Schizosaccharomyces pombe: one gene and its partner. The protein of the gene in region 1 purifies or fractionates together with the protein of each later gene. This does not show direct contact. Each region holds a gene or a part of one and is shown on either strand. Other genes may lie near its edges.

The links. Proteins that work in one complex are often made in the same cells at the same time.
Region 2: the proteins of bgs4 (region 1) and apl3 purify together in Schizosaccharomyces pombe (co-purification; one study listed by BioGRID). This does not show direct contact.

Annotation. Positions count from the first base shown.
Region 1 is NC_003421.2:2,251,455-2,259,673, reverse strand, and holds the start of bgs4 (cell wall and secondary septum 1,6 branched 1,3-beta-glucan synthase catalytic subunit Bgs4), read left to right. Parts: upstream 1-3,021; 5' UTR 3,022-4,527; coding exon 4,528-8,219. Other genes in the region: SPOM_SPCC1840.13 (uncharacterized protein), read left to right, coding at 1,507-1,905.
Region 2 is NC_003423.3:1,422,923-1,430,419, reverse strand, and holds apl3 (AP-2 adaptor complex subunit Alp3), read left to right. Parts: upstream 1-2,972; 5' UTR 2,973-3,113; coding exon 3,114-5,750; 3' UTR 5,751-6,192; downstream 6,193-7,497. Other genes in the region: ATP-dependent RNA helicase Mss116, read right to left, coding at 24-1,631; drp1 (RINT1 family protein), read left to right, coding at 6,511-7,497. UniProt on the Schizosaccharomyces pombe protein: Adaptins are components of the adaptor complexes which link clathrin to receptors in coated vesicles. Clathrin-associated protein complexes are believed to interact with the cytoplasmic tails of membrane proteins, leading to their selection and concentration.

The DNA of each region.
Region 1 (8,219 bases):
GTTCACATTTCGTTTTCCCATTGAATTATTGATGAGTGTGATGAACAGAAAACAAAGTGTCATGCTCATTAAGGTTTTCATATTTTTCTTATTAGACTCACAATTACATACACTAGTAGAGACAGGTATGGTGAATGAATTGCTAACATTTTGAATGCCATCATTACAAACTAGTTAGTATCAAATTATAGTCGGTATCATCCGAGGCTGCACATAACAATGTAGCGATAAAAAGTAATTTGAAATTTTAGCACATACAGGAATCAGGGATGAGTGGCAATTTAGTAATAATCGTGAATATTCCGATGTACCAGTGCAAGCTAAGTTATTGTTCGCTAAGCTTGTTTTGGAAGCGTTTATATGTAAGTATGTCTGATCTATTTTAAACAATTGCATGGATAAAGTCTCGGCCTTTTGTCTTGCATAAAGTCATATTAAATTGAAATTGGCGGGAAACCAGAATTAGGATAGAATAAGATTAGTGTAGTATAGAATTAACAAGAAAGGTATGCATAAAGAGCATTAATAGAGGTTTATTAGAAAAATAAAGCGATAAAAAGGAAATGTAGTAGAGCAAGAGAAGTAAATTCTTTTAATTTTGAAATTTCCGCCAATGTATCGTCCAACCGACGCTGCTTGTTATACTACGCAGTTTGAATGTCTAGCGATTTCCATAAATCAACTTCTTTGAAAACATTCGCTAGCATTCAGGACGAAAGGCGATGTGTAAACAATGAGGAGACTTAACTTACCACCGCTAGTCTTAACTTCACTGGATAATGTTATAGAATAATGTTGTAGAAACCGGTATAGGAAACAGTGATTTTCCCAGGGTTGCTGTTATCTCGGATTCCCGTTTTACATTGCTTTTGGCAGGGAATTACGATAGCAAACCAACTAAAATTTCCTTTCCGTCTTTAAACCGAGACGCTATAGTACAATTGATTCGTTAAGTTCCCGATGGCGGGCGATTTCATGACGAGAAAAAAAATCGGTAATTCGTAGACTAGAAGAAAGAAACCATTTTCAAATAATATCGTTCTACTAGAATCGGAACATGCAACCGAATGAATTTGTTTTTTTAAAATATTTTTAACGTTACTTCAAATGTACGGTATGGAAACGTAATTGACAATTGGCGAAATAGACGAATTCAATTTAAGAGATTTGAATACATGGAGAGATTGAATGTATAGTATCTAATTAAGGAGAATTGATGAATTTTTTAGATTTTTTAATGTGATTCCGGTTCTTCGCTATAATTGCTTGCATTCCAAAATCCCCGTAGCATCCATTTCCATCAATGGTTTTTCAATTCCCGTACACGGTTATTTTTCCACCGCTCTGCATTGCGAGTTCTGTGGCAATACCCAATGTTCTACTAGGATATTCTATTAAACCACGCTATATCAAGGAACCAGGCCTTTCCATCTTCCCCATTCTATTCATAGGAATTTTGGCCGCTTCCCTAGTAGAAGGGACAGCCAAAAAAGAGCGAAATTTCAAATGGACTTTTATAGGATCTTGGTAATATGCATCCATGTATATACCAGGCTAGTTTTTGCGCCATTGAAAAAGGATTTAAAACTTTTACGCTTAATCAGCCTTTGCATTCCAATAATTCGACCTTTTTCTTTCCTCATTTACCCACCACCCAAATCTTTCTCCCCGCTCAACTCTATTCTTCCATCTATCTTACCCATTATTCCTTTTGCTATCTCATCTAGCCTGCTCTTTTCATATACTTTTCACGTTTTCTACCGTTTCCTTTTCCAGCCGCTATTATCGGTCCCATATGCCAATTCCAAACAAACCAATTGTTTACTCGTAGCGAGCTTTGTTTATTTACCCTATCGGAGCCCGTTACCGGTTGTCATAGAAATAATGGTACAGCGTTACTTGTAGATTCAGCTCTTCCCAATCAGTGGTGTAGCAAAGAGGATGATCAATGGTTACAACAAATTTCCCTTTGTTTACATTGTACATAACCGATTGTTTACATTTTGGTTTCTAGGTAGTAAGTCAAAGAAAAATGTTGCACCTCGAAGCTTTTTAGAAAAAAAAAGCGTAAAAGAACTATTAAAGAATTTTCCAATGACACATTGATTCCATTATATTCTATCCCATTCTTCTTATCTACTTTCTCTTCTGCCACCTTCTTGCTTCTTCCATCCCACACCATATCCAGTATTTTACATACGATTCTAGCAATATGGCAAGAAACCGTCACTAAAAATTTCACTATAGTGAAAACCGAAAAATTACACTTTCTATTGTAGGGTTAACTTAATTAATTTTAATTTATTTATTTTTTTTTTTTGCTCGAAAGCATGTGCATAGTAGGATTGTACGAAAATAGCAGCAGGATGTTTATTTATAAGTGTGCAAATTGAATGAAAAGACATTCCTAATGTTGGTAAACGTAATTCGTTCCGCTAATGCTGCTAAAGCGTAGAGGGTTTGAATAAAATACATTTAAATATTAGCTAGTTTTTCATGAAAGACGATCGATTTAAATAAAAAAATCTGATCTGTTTTTCTATTGCATATTTTTCTCTTGCTTAGATATTTTTTCTTTTTGATTATTCGACAACTTTACTTCCATCGTACTCATTTTTTATATCAAACAAATTTTAATTATTTACTTTCTTGTCTTTTTTTTGTAATTCACCCATTCAGTTTTTTAACTTTATAATTTTTTTTATTCATCTCAATAGCTCATGTTTTCTGCAGTCTCTTTCTTGCCTTCAACTATCCCTCCTTCTATTAATTGATACATATATTTTGCGAGCTGCTGGTATCAACATTAGGAATTACTTAGCAAGACCAACTACGCTGCTTATAAAAGGACCGGCTTGTCTTGATAAAAATTGCATCTGATTACTACTTCGATACTCCTCTCCATTGGGGTTTTTATGGCTTAGTAGTCACCCTTTTAAATATTAGTTTTTTAATAATATTTAAGTATTTTTATTGTGTTTCGTTAAGATTTATATGGTGGTCCTGCAACGTACGCCAGCCGTCTCTCCTGAACCAAACACTACCCTCCGCCAACAACACATCTCGAAAGTGTTTGCGTAGTCCTGAAGTTTGGTTGAAAACAAACGTCTATAGGATTCACATATCGGGAAAACTGTTTAACAATCCGTATTTTTAAATTATTCTCTTTTCTCCCGATTAAAGTCTCCTTCGTGTGAGGCAACTAGGCCTGCTTTTTTCAAGTTTCCTTTGAAAAAAGAGCAAGACCCCATTTGCCTTCTGGACTGCAACAAAAGTTTTTCCTTGATTGTGAAAACAAACAGGCATCGGTTTTTTTTTCCGACTTGTTTTTGCTTCATCGTTTTTTTTTCTCTACTTCTTCTTTTACCTCCCCGTTATTCAATTCTTATACCTTGTGGTAAAAAGAACTTTGACGGTCTTTTATTCGTTTCATATTGCTTTTGAGAGATTCAAAGTTTTCCTTTTTTCTCTTTTATTATTATTATTGCTAATTTCATATAATAACGATCATTTGCGGATACTCCTCGTTTATACCCACCAGCCTTTTTCTTCTCGCTTCTTTCCCGCTTTAAAAAAAATCTTTCCCCTCCCCTTCTTTTTGGAGTGCCCTTGAAGTTTTTTTATATCTAAATCAAAGAAAAAGACTGAGAGAAAGTTATCTTATCCCCAAGAATCAACAGCATCTAGTTCTTTTCTTAAAGTTCTGGCTTCTTCATTTCATCTGTTGAATCGACAGACATTGGTATTTAGGAGCTTTGTCCATTGAGCCTTCTTTACTTTGTCTTAATAGACGTACTGTTTGCAAAGGGTTTTATACAGTGATTTTAGCGTGAAAAAAATTAAGAGCTCTTCGGTTTTTTCCGAGTTTCAAAATTTATTGTATATTCCTTTCTCTTGTATTTTGGGTTCATCATTTGTGGCATTCTCCGTTTTACACGCATCTGTTAGTGCATTACTTTCTTGATATTTTATCGCATTGGAGTAGATTTTGTCTTACTTAAATTTTATTTCAAAGCTTTGGCAAATCATCTGCTTACCTTTATTTCCTTTCTTTCTTTTTCATTACAGTCTTTTACAGGGAATTCCTTCCTTTTTTTAGAAATTTTCTTTCGTTAATATCTACCCATATATCGCCATTTATAAACTTGACGCTTATCCACCCTTACATACGGTTATCGTCATTTCAACCTGTTAACGGAGTGAATTTCTTTTAGATAAGTCACTTTGATCATTCACGGAGTTTGCTTATCTTGTTTGTTGAAGCTTTTCTCTTTTAGTGTTTGTATTTCTATTTCTTTTCCTTTACTTTTCTGATATTTTATTCCATCCATTAATTGGTTCTTTTTTCATTTTGGCTTACAAGAGCGGATAAGCATTAAGTCATCAGTCCCTCTTTTCAGTTCCTATTGAAATTGTTCATTCTTTTCTTTTTTCTGTTCGTTATTCTTTAACTGGGAACTCCTTTCACCATATTTCTAATTAGTCCTCATTCCTCAATCTATTTACAAGTTTTAAGCATAGTAGAAAATGTCTGGAAATAATGAAAATGTTTCAGGTATTACTGGTCATGATGCTGTCTCGGATGATCAGTACGCTTACGATTCAGAGGTTTATGATGACCAAAATGCATACCAACGCCAGCCTGCTGATGCGTATTCCAATGAGGAGTTTTTGGATCAGGCTGACTACGATTCTATGTATGGAGAGGGTTACAATGGGTATGATTACCCTACTGGTGTAACTGAAAGTTATGGAGATGAATACACTCCTGTCGACACCGCCTCTTCAGGTATCAATCAATATTCCACTGAAAAAGGAAAATTTACTCGTCCTTCAGATGAATACGAGTCTGAGTATTCAGATTACAATGCTCAGCCCTCAGATGCCAACAATTTTTACAATTTGAGAGGCGATGGTAGATACAACGCTTATGATCCTAGTTCCGATTCGTTGGCTAACGTCTACAACAGTGTGCCTTACGGTAGCAGTCCGTATGATTTTAGCAACTCTTCTTTTGTTGGTAATTCGGGCTCAGGTACCCCATTGGATGGCGATAGTGGTTCATTCTATGCCGATAGCGCTAATCTCACAAATCGTGAGCCTTATCCTGCCTGGACTCCTGAAAACGAACTCCCTTTAACTAAGGAAGAGATTGAAGACATATTCATTGATCTAACCAATAAATTGGGTTTCCAACGCGATTCCATGCGTAATATGTATGATTTTTTTATGTGTCTTTTAGATTCTCGTGCTTCTCGCATGACTCCAGATCAAGCACTGCTTACGCTTCATGCCGATTATATTGGTAGTGATATTGCTAACTATAAAAAATGGTATTTTGCTTCTCAGATGGATCGGGAAGATGCAGTCGGTCTTGCTAATGTTGGCATTTATGGTGGTAAAGTTACTTCTATCAAAGAGAAAGGAAAGTTCTTTTCTCGAAACAAAAAAGCCCCTAAAGTTGTTAAGCCTCCAAGGAAGTCTCGCTTCAAGCGCAAGAAGAAAAAGGAGCAACCCGAGGAGGCGGAAGACGAATACATTGATGTTAATACCGATGATTCTTTAGAATCCGCCGAATATCGTTGGAGATCTCACATGCGCTCAATGACTCAATTCGAGCGTGCTCAACAAATTGCATTGTGGCTTTTGTTGTGGGGTGAGGCAAACAATGTTCGTTTCATGCCTGAGGTAATAGCCTTCCTTTTCAAATGTGCTTACGATTATATTATTTCACCTGAGGCACAAAACGTCACTGAACCAGTTCCTGAAGGATATTACTTGGATAATATTGTTTCCCCACTCTACCAATATATGCACGATCAGCAGTTTGAAATTATCAATGGGAAATATGTACGTCGGGAACGTCCACATGACCAGTTAATTGGATACGATGATATTAACCAACTTTTCTGGCATGCTGAGGGTATAGCACGTCTTATTTTTGAAGACGGCACTCGTCTTATTGATATTCCTGCTTCTGAGCGTTTTCATAGGCTTCCAGAAGTTCAATGGAATCGTGCTTTTTATAAAACTTATTATGAATCCCGTTCTTGGTTTCATCTTATTACCAATTTCAATCGTATTTGGGTCATCCACTTTGGTATGTTTTGGTATTTTACTGCTTTCAACTCTCCTACTCTTTACACAAAACCTTTCCATCAGCGCGATGGTCCCAAGCCAACAGGTGCTTCCCAATGGGCTGCTGTTGCTTGTACCTCTGTTGTTTCTTGTATTATCATGGCTGCTGCTTCTTTGTGTGAATATCTTTTTGTCCCCCGTCGTTTCCCTGGATCAAAACCCATTTGGAAGCGTTTATGTATCATTGTTTTAATCGCTATCATTAACTTGATTCCTATCGTCTATATCTTCGGTTTCTCAAGTAAGCATCAACAGCGTAGTGGTCGACGTATCGCTGTTGGTGTAGTTGCATTTTTGATGTCTATTGCTACATACGTCTACTTTTCTCTTGTACCTCTACAAAGTACATTTGGAAAATTGTCCGTGAAAGATTCTCGTAAATACTTGGCAAACAAGTATTTCACTTCAAATTTTGCACCATTAAAATTTGATAACCAAGCACTCTCTGTTATTATTTGGGTCTGTGTTTTCACATGCAAATTTGCTGAATCTTATTTCTTCCTTACCTTGTCTATCAGAGATCCTATTATTGTTTTGAGTACCATGCGACCTTATCTTTGCTCTATTTATTGGGCGGGTAGCAGATTATGTTTTGTCCAACCAAGGATCATTTTGGGTATCATGTATTTTACTGACTTGATTCTCTTCTTTTTGGATACGTACCTTTGGTATATTATTTTCAATACTATCTTCTCTGTTTTAAGATCATTCGTCTTAGGTATTTCGATCCTCACACCATGGAGAAATATCTTTAGCCGTATGCCCCAAAGAATTTATGGTAAAATTTTGGCCACGAATGACATGGAAATTAAGTACAAACCTAAAATTTTAATTTCACAAATTTGGAATGCGATTGTCATTTCTATGTATCGTGAACATTTACTTTCCATTGATCATGTACAACGTCTTCTGTATCATCAAGTTCCAGCTGAAGAAGGACGTAGGACTCTTAGAACCCCTACGTTTTTTGTCTCTCAGGACGATAATATTGTTCACACTACTTTCTTCCCTGCAAATTCAGAGGCAGAGCGTCGTCTTTCTTTCTTTGCACAATCTTTAGCTACTCCCATTCCAGAACCAGTACCTGTTGACAACATGCCTACTTTCACTGTATTGATTCCTCATTATGCTGAGAAAATTCTTCTATCATTGCGAGAAATCATTAGAGAAGAGGACCAGTTGTCTCGTGTCACCCTTTTAGAATATTTGAAACAGCTTCATCCTGTTGAATGGGACTGTTTTGTGAAGGATACTAAGATTCTGGTAGAGGAAAATGCTCCATATGAAAATGATTCTGTCTCTGAAAAGGAAGGTACATATAAAAGTAAAGTTGATGATCTTCCTTTTTACTGTATTGGTTTCAAATCTGCTATGCCCGAGTATACGTTACGTACCCGTATTTGGGCTTCCTTAAGAAGTCAAACGTTGTATCGTACTATCAGCGGTTTTATGAACTATAGCAGAGCTATCAAGCTTTTATATCGTGTTGAAAACCCCGAAATCGTTCAAATGTTTGGTGGTAACACAGATCGTTTGGAAAGGGAGTTAGATCGCATGGCTCGTCGAAAATTCAAGTTGGTTGTCTCAATGCAACGTTATGCAAAGTTCACAAAGGAAGAGTATGAAAATGCCGAATTTCTTCTCAGGGCTTATCCTGATTTGCAAATTGCTTACCTTGACGAAGATCCTCCTGAAGAAGAAGGTGCGGAACCTCAATTGTTTGCTGCTTTGATTGACGGTCACTCTGAAATTATGGAAAATGAACGTCGTCGTCCGAAATATCGTATTCGTTTGTCTGGTAATCCTATTCTTGGTGATGGTAAATCTGACAATCAAAACATGAGCTTACCATTCTATCGTGGTGAATATATTCAACTTATTGATGCTAATCAAGATAATTATCTTGAAGAGTGCCTTAAGATTCGAAGTGTTCTTGCTGAGTTTGAAGAAATGGAGACCGACAATGTTAACCCCTATTCTGAAAGTGCTCGTGAAAGAAATAAGCATCCTGTAGCTATTCTTGGTGCTCGTGAATACATTTTCTCTGAGAACATTGGTATATTGGGTGACGTTGCAGCAGG
Region 2 (7,497 bases), on another chromosome or scaffold:
TTTGTTTTTTTGTCATGGTGGAACTAGCGACGACTTTGTTGATAGCGACCTCTTGAAGGAAGGGAACGAGGTCGTCGTTGAAAGGAGGAAGATGAAGATGATGGATATTTTAATTGAGATCCCCTAAAACCTTTTGGTGAACCTCTACCTCTTGACTTGTATATAAGTTCTTCCATTAAGCCAGGAACGTCATGTAAAGAAAATAAAGCAATAGCAGATTCATGAATGTTCTTACCGGTGGCTCGTCTTTGGGACGAACCAGAGAAGACATGAGGTTTAGACCCATACAGAGTTTTCAAAGCATTTGTACGGGAAAATTTCGATGACTTTTCAATATCCGACCTCAAAGTTGAGAGAGCTTGATCTGATAAGGGCTCGATAGTTGCCCGTTTTAAAGGTAAATGTTTGATACTATTTAAAAAAGGTTTCTCTTGTTCCAGAAGAATTAAATATGCCTCTCCTGTTTTACCAGCCCTACCCGTACGTCCAATTCGATGAATGTAATCATCGGTATTGCTAGGACCAGTTATTTGGACAACCTGGGTAATGTTAGGGAAATCCATTCCCCGTGCGACAACATCTGTAGCAAATAAAATACCACTTTGACATTTCCTAAAGCTTTCTGTAATAGATCTACGCTGCGCAGTAGTTAAACCGGAATGTAAAATAAAGCAAGGAATCTTCAAATGATTTTCTAAAACTCCGCCAACAAAGTCAACCATGCTTATGGTGGGAAGAAAAACGATAATACGACTTGAGGGATTTGAAGAAGTGAGTTGTTGTAAAAGTGAGAGAGAAGAAGAGAATACCTTATCGAGCTTGGTTTCTATAACAAATTGGGGCACACGCTCATGCGTAGGAGGCTCGTTTGGATCCAGACAGTTTATGAGCTTAAAATCAGTCCCAAGAATTCCACGAAAAACGTTAGAGACTTTTGGCGGCATTGTTGCACTAAAACACAACTTCCTGGTCTTAGTAGTTGTGACAGCTTCATGAATGTTCAAAATTGACTCAGCAAACCCCATATCCATTAAACGGTCAGCTTCATCCAAAATGAAAGAGTCAGTAGATAAAGATTCAAGAATCCTTGGATTCTGAAGGTGATCTTCCAAACGCCCAGGAGTTGCAATCAGAAGATTGGCATTACCACGACGAATTGCATTTTCCTCTCTCATCTTTGAGTTTCCGCCAATGGCATAAGAAACGCGGATTCCCGTCCCATAAGTCAATTTTCTAGCTTCTTCAAAAATTTGTAAGGCCAATTCTCTTGTCGGGCTAAGGATTACGGAGTGAATTTTGGAGGAATTCAAACGTGGCTTTCCCTTAAGCACATCTTTAAAGGCCACTAACAAGAAAGCCAAAGTCTTTCCTGTACCTGTTTTTGCCTGCACTACAGCATTCTCTTCGTTAGGAAAAACTTCATTCAATACCCGCTGCTGAACTGGAGTCATTTTCTCGAACCCTGCGCGAGACAAACTATTTTTGAAAGTACTAGAAAGAGAAGCAACCTCTGAAAACAGCGTTGGTTGCTGTGATTTCATTGTCGAGTTCCATCTTATAAATCCTTGAACTTTGGGTAAGTTAAATCTCCCAACAGTTGAAAAAATAGCTCCTTTCAGTGAGATATTCATTCTCGACTTTCTGAACTATACTGCTTGTATTACCAATTGACTCAAAATTACGAAGAAATAAATATACTTGTAACTCAATATAGTTCAAAAAAAAGTTCCAAAAATAATGGTTGTGGAAGTAGGGATACATGAGCCAAAGAAAAAAGTTAAGAGGAATTTTACAAAATTTTAATCTTCAGTAAATATGGTATTTCCTCAATATTATGAAAAAAAAGGAATGTTTAAAGCGTCATTTCATGTAGGAAATCCAACTTTCAATTTTTCTTCGATTCAAGATTGACAGCTGTTTTAACACGAACTCTTCAGCTAAAGAGTTGTTATATATAATTCTATGTAAAAAAATATTTTAGGAAAGTAGTTATGTATTGAGTTTAATTGTATCCTTCAATTTATGTCTATAAATCGATTCCTGTAATGTTTTCAAGCTTTAGTTATAGTAGTTCAAAATTTGAAAGAATTGATTGTTTTTTCCAAGTTCCAAATGCATCTTATTTTGTTACAATTCTTATAAAATAACTGGTTCATTTTATTTCAGCCATATTTTAAGTCCAATTTTATTGAAAAAAAAGTGGGAAGATACAACCTGAAAGAAAAGATTATTGAGACAACAAAGTCTATAAAAAAAATAACTGGTTTGCTTGCATAGTTGCCCCATGCAAACAAAATCGTTTTTATGAAACAAAGCGTGAAGACTAAAATTATTAGACACGTTATAATTTAATGATACTTCGTTTTGCTTCTTTAATGGGAGAAATTAGCCTCCAAAAGCAAAATAAGACTTGTCAAAACCAATTGATATTCCAATTGTTGAAAAAAAGTCAAAGGCCCTTCAGTATCCGGAATTATTACGGCTTCATGTATAATATGATTTAATCCATTTCACTCGGAATCGGCTTACCTGCTAACTATTTAATACAGATTTATCGTTTGAGAGACACCTTGAAGCTAGAAAATGTTTTGAGTTTTCTGTAAAAAGTAAGAACACAGCAAAATATGCTTAAATTCAATATTGGATGGCTGCTCTAAATGAAATGTTTTGTACTGATGCTCATAAATTAATTTTCTCATCCACGCAAACCCAAGTCGAATATTTTAGGCACATGTGTTTGTATGAAACAGATGAAAGCATTTTCTATTCAGTTCCATTACCCGGCTTTGCATTCATCACGTTTTTTCTAAAAATTAATCTTTTGTTTACTTTGGTATATAAAGTAATACTAGGTAGTACGTTGTTTTGAAAATCATGGGCTACGTCCCCCTACGATAATTTCTATTAACGAAAATGAAGTTAATACGAAAAAGTATTGTTTGAACAGCGCGTCGCTTCTTACAACTTTGTTTGTTCTAAGCCAAAAGCTCAATTGGTGGGTATTTGGATATAGTGCCATTGTAATGAATCTTTTGGGTTGAGTTTATAAGAATATTGCATGTTACAATACCGATAAAAGTGTGATTGCTCACAAAGTATACAAATAGTAAAAAATGGTGGCTAGCAACAATATGAAAGGGCTTCGAGCGTTTATCTCGGATTTGAGAAGTTTAGAGCATGACGATGAAGAGAAACGTGTAAATGTTGAATTGGCTAAAATTCGTGCAAAGTTTCAAAGTTCTACTTTATCTGCGTATGACCGAAAAAAATATGTCAGCAAGCTTTTATATATATATATGCTGGGTTATCCCATCACTTTTGGCCATATGGAAGCTGCAAAACTCCTTTCAGGGACGAAGTATAGTGAAAAACTCATTGGTTATTTGGCAGTTGCTTTGTTGCTAAACGAGAACCATGAGTTGATGAAGTTGGTTATAAATAGTATTAAAAAAGATCTTTTGAGTCATGACTCTTTACAAAATTCGTTGGCCTTGCATACAATAGCCAACATTGGTGGCCGAGAATTATGTGAAACCGTGTACTACGACATCTATAAACTTCTAATGTCGGCAAGCAACGAAAATATTGTTCGTCAGAAATCTGCCTTAGCTCTCCTACATATTTATCGAAAGTTTCCGGATCTAATCAACCCAGAATGGTTTGAGCCGATAGTTATGATACTAGGTGATGATGACCTTAACGTTTCGTTGGCGGTCTCTAATTTTGTTAATTTAATCGTAATTCGGGAGCCAAAATATCAAAAATTTGCTTATGGAAAAGCGGTTGGTAAACTGAAGAACATAGTTTTTGAACACGGTTATTCAAGTGACTATTTGTATTATTCTGTACCTTGCCCTTGGCTACAGGTTAATCTTTGTCGTATTCTACTTGCTTGCGAAAGGCCTTCGGACAATCCCACAAGGGCAACTCTAATACGTGTACTAGATCGAATCCTTAGTTTGCCAAATGATAACTCAAACGTACAACAAGTAAATGCGGTGAATGCTATCCTTTTCGAAGCCATCAAACTGGCTTTTCTAGTCGACGAATCTCATTCTTTGTACGAAAAATGTATGGACAGACTTGCTGACATGATCGCTGATAAAGAAAGCAATATTCGGTATTTGGCTTTTGAGACGACTGCCTATCTAATTTCATGCGGACATTCTATCACTTCTTTAAAGCATTATAAGGAATTAATATTATCCTCTTTGAGGTACAAGGATGTTTCCCTTAGAAAAAAAAGTTTAGAACTCTTGTATATGATGTGTGACGAGGAAAATGCTAAACTCATCGTTGCCGATTTATTGCAGTATTTACCACATCTTGACTCAGTAACTCAGGAGGATCTTATTTCTAAGGTTGCCATAATTTCAGAGACCTTTGCTACCGACTATGAATGGTATGTCGATGTTACTATACAACTGCTTCGGATAGCTGGAAAATCCGCTGATGATGGCGTCTGGCATCAGCTAGTTCATGTCATTGTGAACAACGAAGAAATCCAGGAATATGCTACCAAACGGCTATTCAGCTTACTACAGTCTGAAACGATTCATGAATGCTTAGTCAAAGCTGGAGGTTATGTTCTTGGTGAATTTGGGCATTTAATTACCGATTACCCGGACAGCCAACCTGTTCATCAGTTTTCTACAATTTATCGTAAGCTGAATGTTTCTTCTCCCAGTACGAGGGTTCTGCTTTTAACCACTTTAATCAAACTGGCAAATTTGCAGCCTGAATTGAACGATAGAATTGCGAAGGTTTTTCAGGAATATTCTACTATTATAAATCCAGAAGTACAACAAAGAGCATGTGAATATCTTCAACTTTTAAAAATGCCAAGGGACTTTCTCCAATTGGTTTGTGATGAAGTTCCCCCATTTTTAGACGGAAATCGAGATGGAGTGCATCCAAAGTCACGTCCTAGCAGCAAGGTAAATTTGGTTGATACCTATCCTCAAACCATTCCCAATGTTTCCAAACCATCCACGCCCATTGATGTTCCAGAATATGACATATCAGCATGTCTTCCTGGGTTTTATCGTTTATGTTGGAAAGATAAGGGAATTTTGTACCAAGATTCTCAAATACAAATTGGTGTTCGTTCAGAATATCACAATTCAGAAGGCGCCATATATTTGTATTATGAAAATCGACAGTCAAATACGTTGAAGTCACTCTCTTCAACGTTAATTAGAACCTTTTCTACCTTCCATTTAGCAACAACTTTTCAAGATACAAATTTGCCATCAGGAGTTCAACTTCAGCAAAAATATGTTATGAGTGGAGTTAATGAGATATTCGAACCTCCGATTATTCATGTGTCTTATGTTACTGGTGTTATACGTTCGATAGACCTCCAATTACCGGTTTTGTTATCAAAATTTATGAAACCGACAATATTTGACAGCTATGATTTCTTTAACCATTGGGGTCAAATGGGAGTGGAAAGGGAAGCACAGTTAACTTTCGGACTCAACAGCAAAGATAGAAAGCTTGACGCAAAACGACTGACAAAAATAGTTAGTGGATTTCACTGGGGAATATGCCAAAATGTTGATTCTATTGCCCTTAATATTGTAGGAGCAGGAATTATTCGATTTGGTACACAGAATGTTGGATGTTTACTTCGTATTGAACCAAATTACGAACAAAATTTGATTCGTCTATCAATTCGTTCTACTAACACTTCAATAGCAAATACGTTGGCAAAAGAAATGCAAGAGATTTTAAGGAATTCGTTTTAATAGTTGTCGCTGCTACTCTCAAAAATTTTTATTGATTGTCATAGCTTTAATGCCTATGCCTCTGTCCACATTTGATGAGTTGAGTATCTCTTAGTGAAGATTTACCTTGAATTTTATTTTATATACTAACTTATACCCCTTTTATTGGAAGTACGAGAGTACAATACAATTTTAATGTATTCGAAGTGCTGTTCAATGATGTTTGTTATTTTATCTTTGTTTCTTTATATCTATTTGCTTTAGTGAACTTCTTCTAAGTGAAAATACTTATACTGTTTTTAATGGATAAAAACTCTTCCTTATTTGGCACACGCTAGGACATTAAACATCTAAATACTCTGTCTCGAAATATGCGCAGTCGATACCAACAAATCTTAATGTCCTTAATAAAAGTAATATAGACCTGAATAATTGAGACACTTTTTTGCTATTTATATCGTATAATTCACTTCTTTTCGTAAAAGCGACGAAGTGTAACCATCAGCATATCTTTGTCAAATATAACCCACTCAGAATCACAAGTTTGGAAGTATAAGCCAACAATTTATTGAATATTAATTTTTGTTTAATAAAAACTACTCACTTTATATTGCAATAGTCTTATTGTTTAAAACTTCAAACTATATGATATTAGCAACATTAGCGAGCACCGTAAATAAAGTCGTGCCAACACATTGACTATTCCAAAACTGTTCAGAGAAGTAAACAAAGAACCAAATAGCAGCTGAAACTTCATTGAAGGGTCACCTAGGACTTTTTGATGATGTCCCAACAGTTAATTGATTTTATTGATTCAAGAACACGGCATCCTTATAAGTCAGATGAAGTAGAGAAATTTCAACAAGAAGTCAATGAGCTTCAGCTTCCGGATCCTAACTCACTTCCTATTTTAAGCGAAGAAGAAAAGAGGCAGGCTCGCGAAGATGCCGCATTTCGAAGGTCTAGTGAAGGGCTTGAAGACGCATGGTTAGATTCAGCAATACCTGCCGACCCGACGCCTATTTTCCGAGACACAGTTGAGTTATTATGCGTATATCAATCCTTTGTCAAAAAATCGGCTTCTCTCGATACTGTTGCAAATTTCTTAGACTTTTCTACCGATTTTTCGACATTGTCAACGAAGAAAGATGAGACAGAAATTGCACCTGATTGTTTACATTACATAGCCGAATTACTTTTTCAGAAAAAGGAAAGAGAAGTGAAAGAAAAATGGAAGAACGAGCTCACCGAAAAACTTAAGACATTATTTAATTGGCCTGCTATTAACCCTAACTTGAAGGAATCATCAAAATTTGAAAGTTTTTTTGGTTTTGTCCGATCCATTCAATCGTTTAAAGATTCTGAAACAGGTCTTCCATTATTTATGCAGGTGTACATTACCCCCTATGTAAACCAGTTTCGTTACCACTTTATGTCTCAGAAGCAAACAAATGTATTGTCAAAACCAGAATGGTTTTTTGAGTTCTTACTAAAAGTTTTTCGCTCTAATCGTAGTTTCTACATGCTTATGCGTGATATAAAATTTTTTCCCGGCGTCCCTCCATTTTTTACATTTATCAATTTGCTAAACAACGTTGCAAAGGAAAAATTAACGCATATAATAAAGTATGATGATTATTTAGTTCATTTAGTTCACGAAACCCTACAATACTCTGTGCGGTTGGAGCAACATTTTCATTATACCCAAGACCCTTTAATTATTTTTCTTTTTGAGCAAAACGGAACTTATGATAAATGGTTGGGTTTA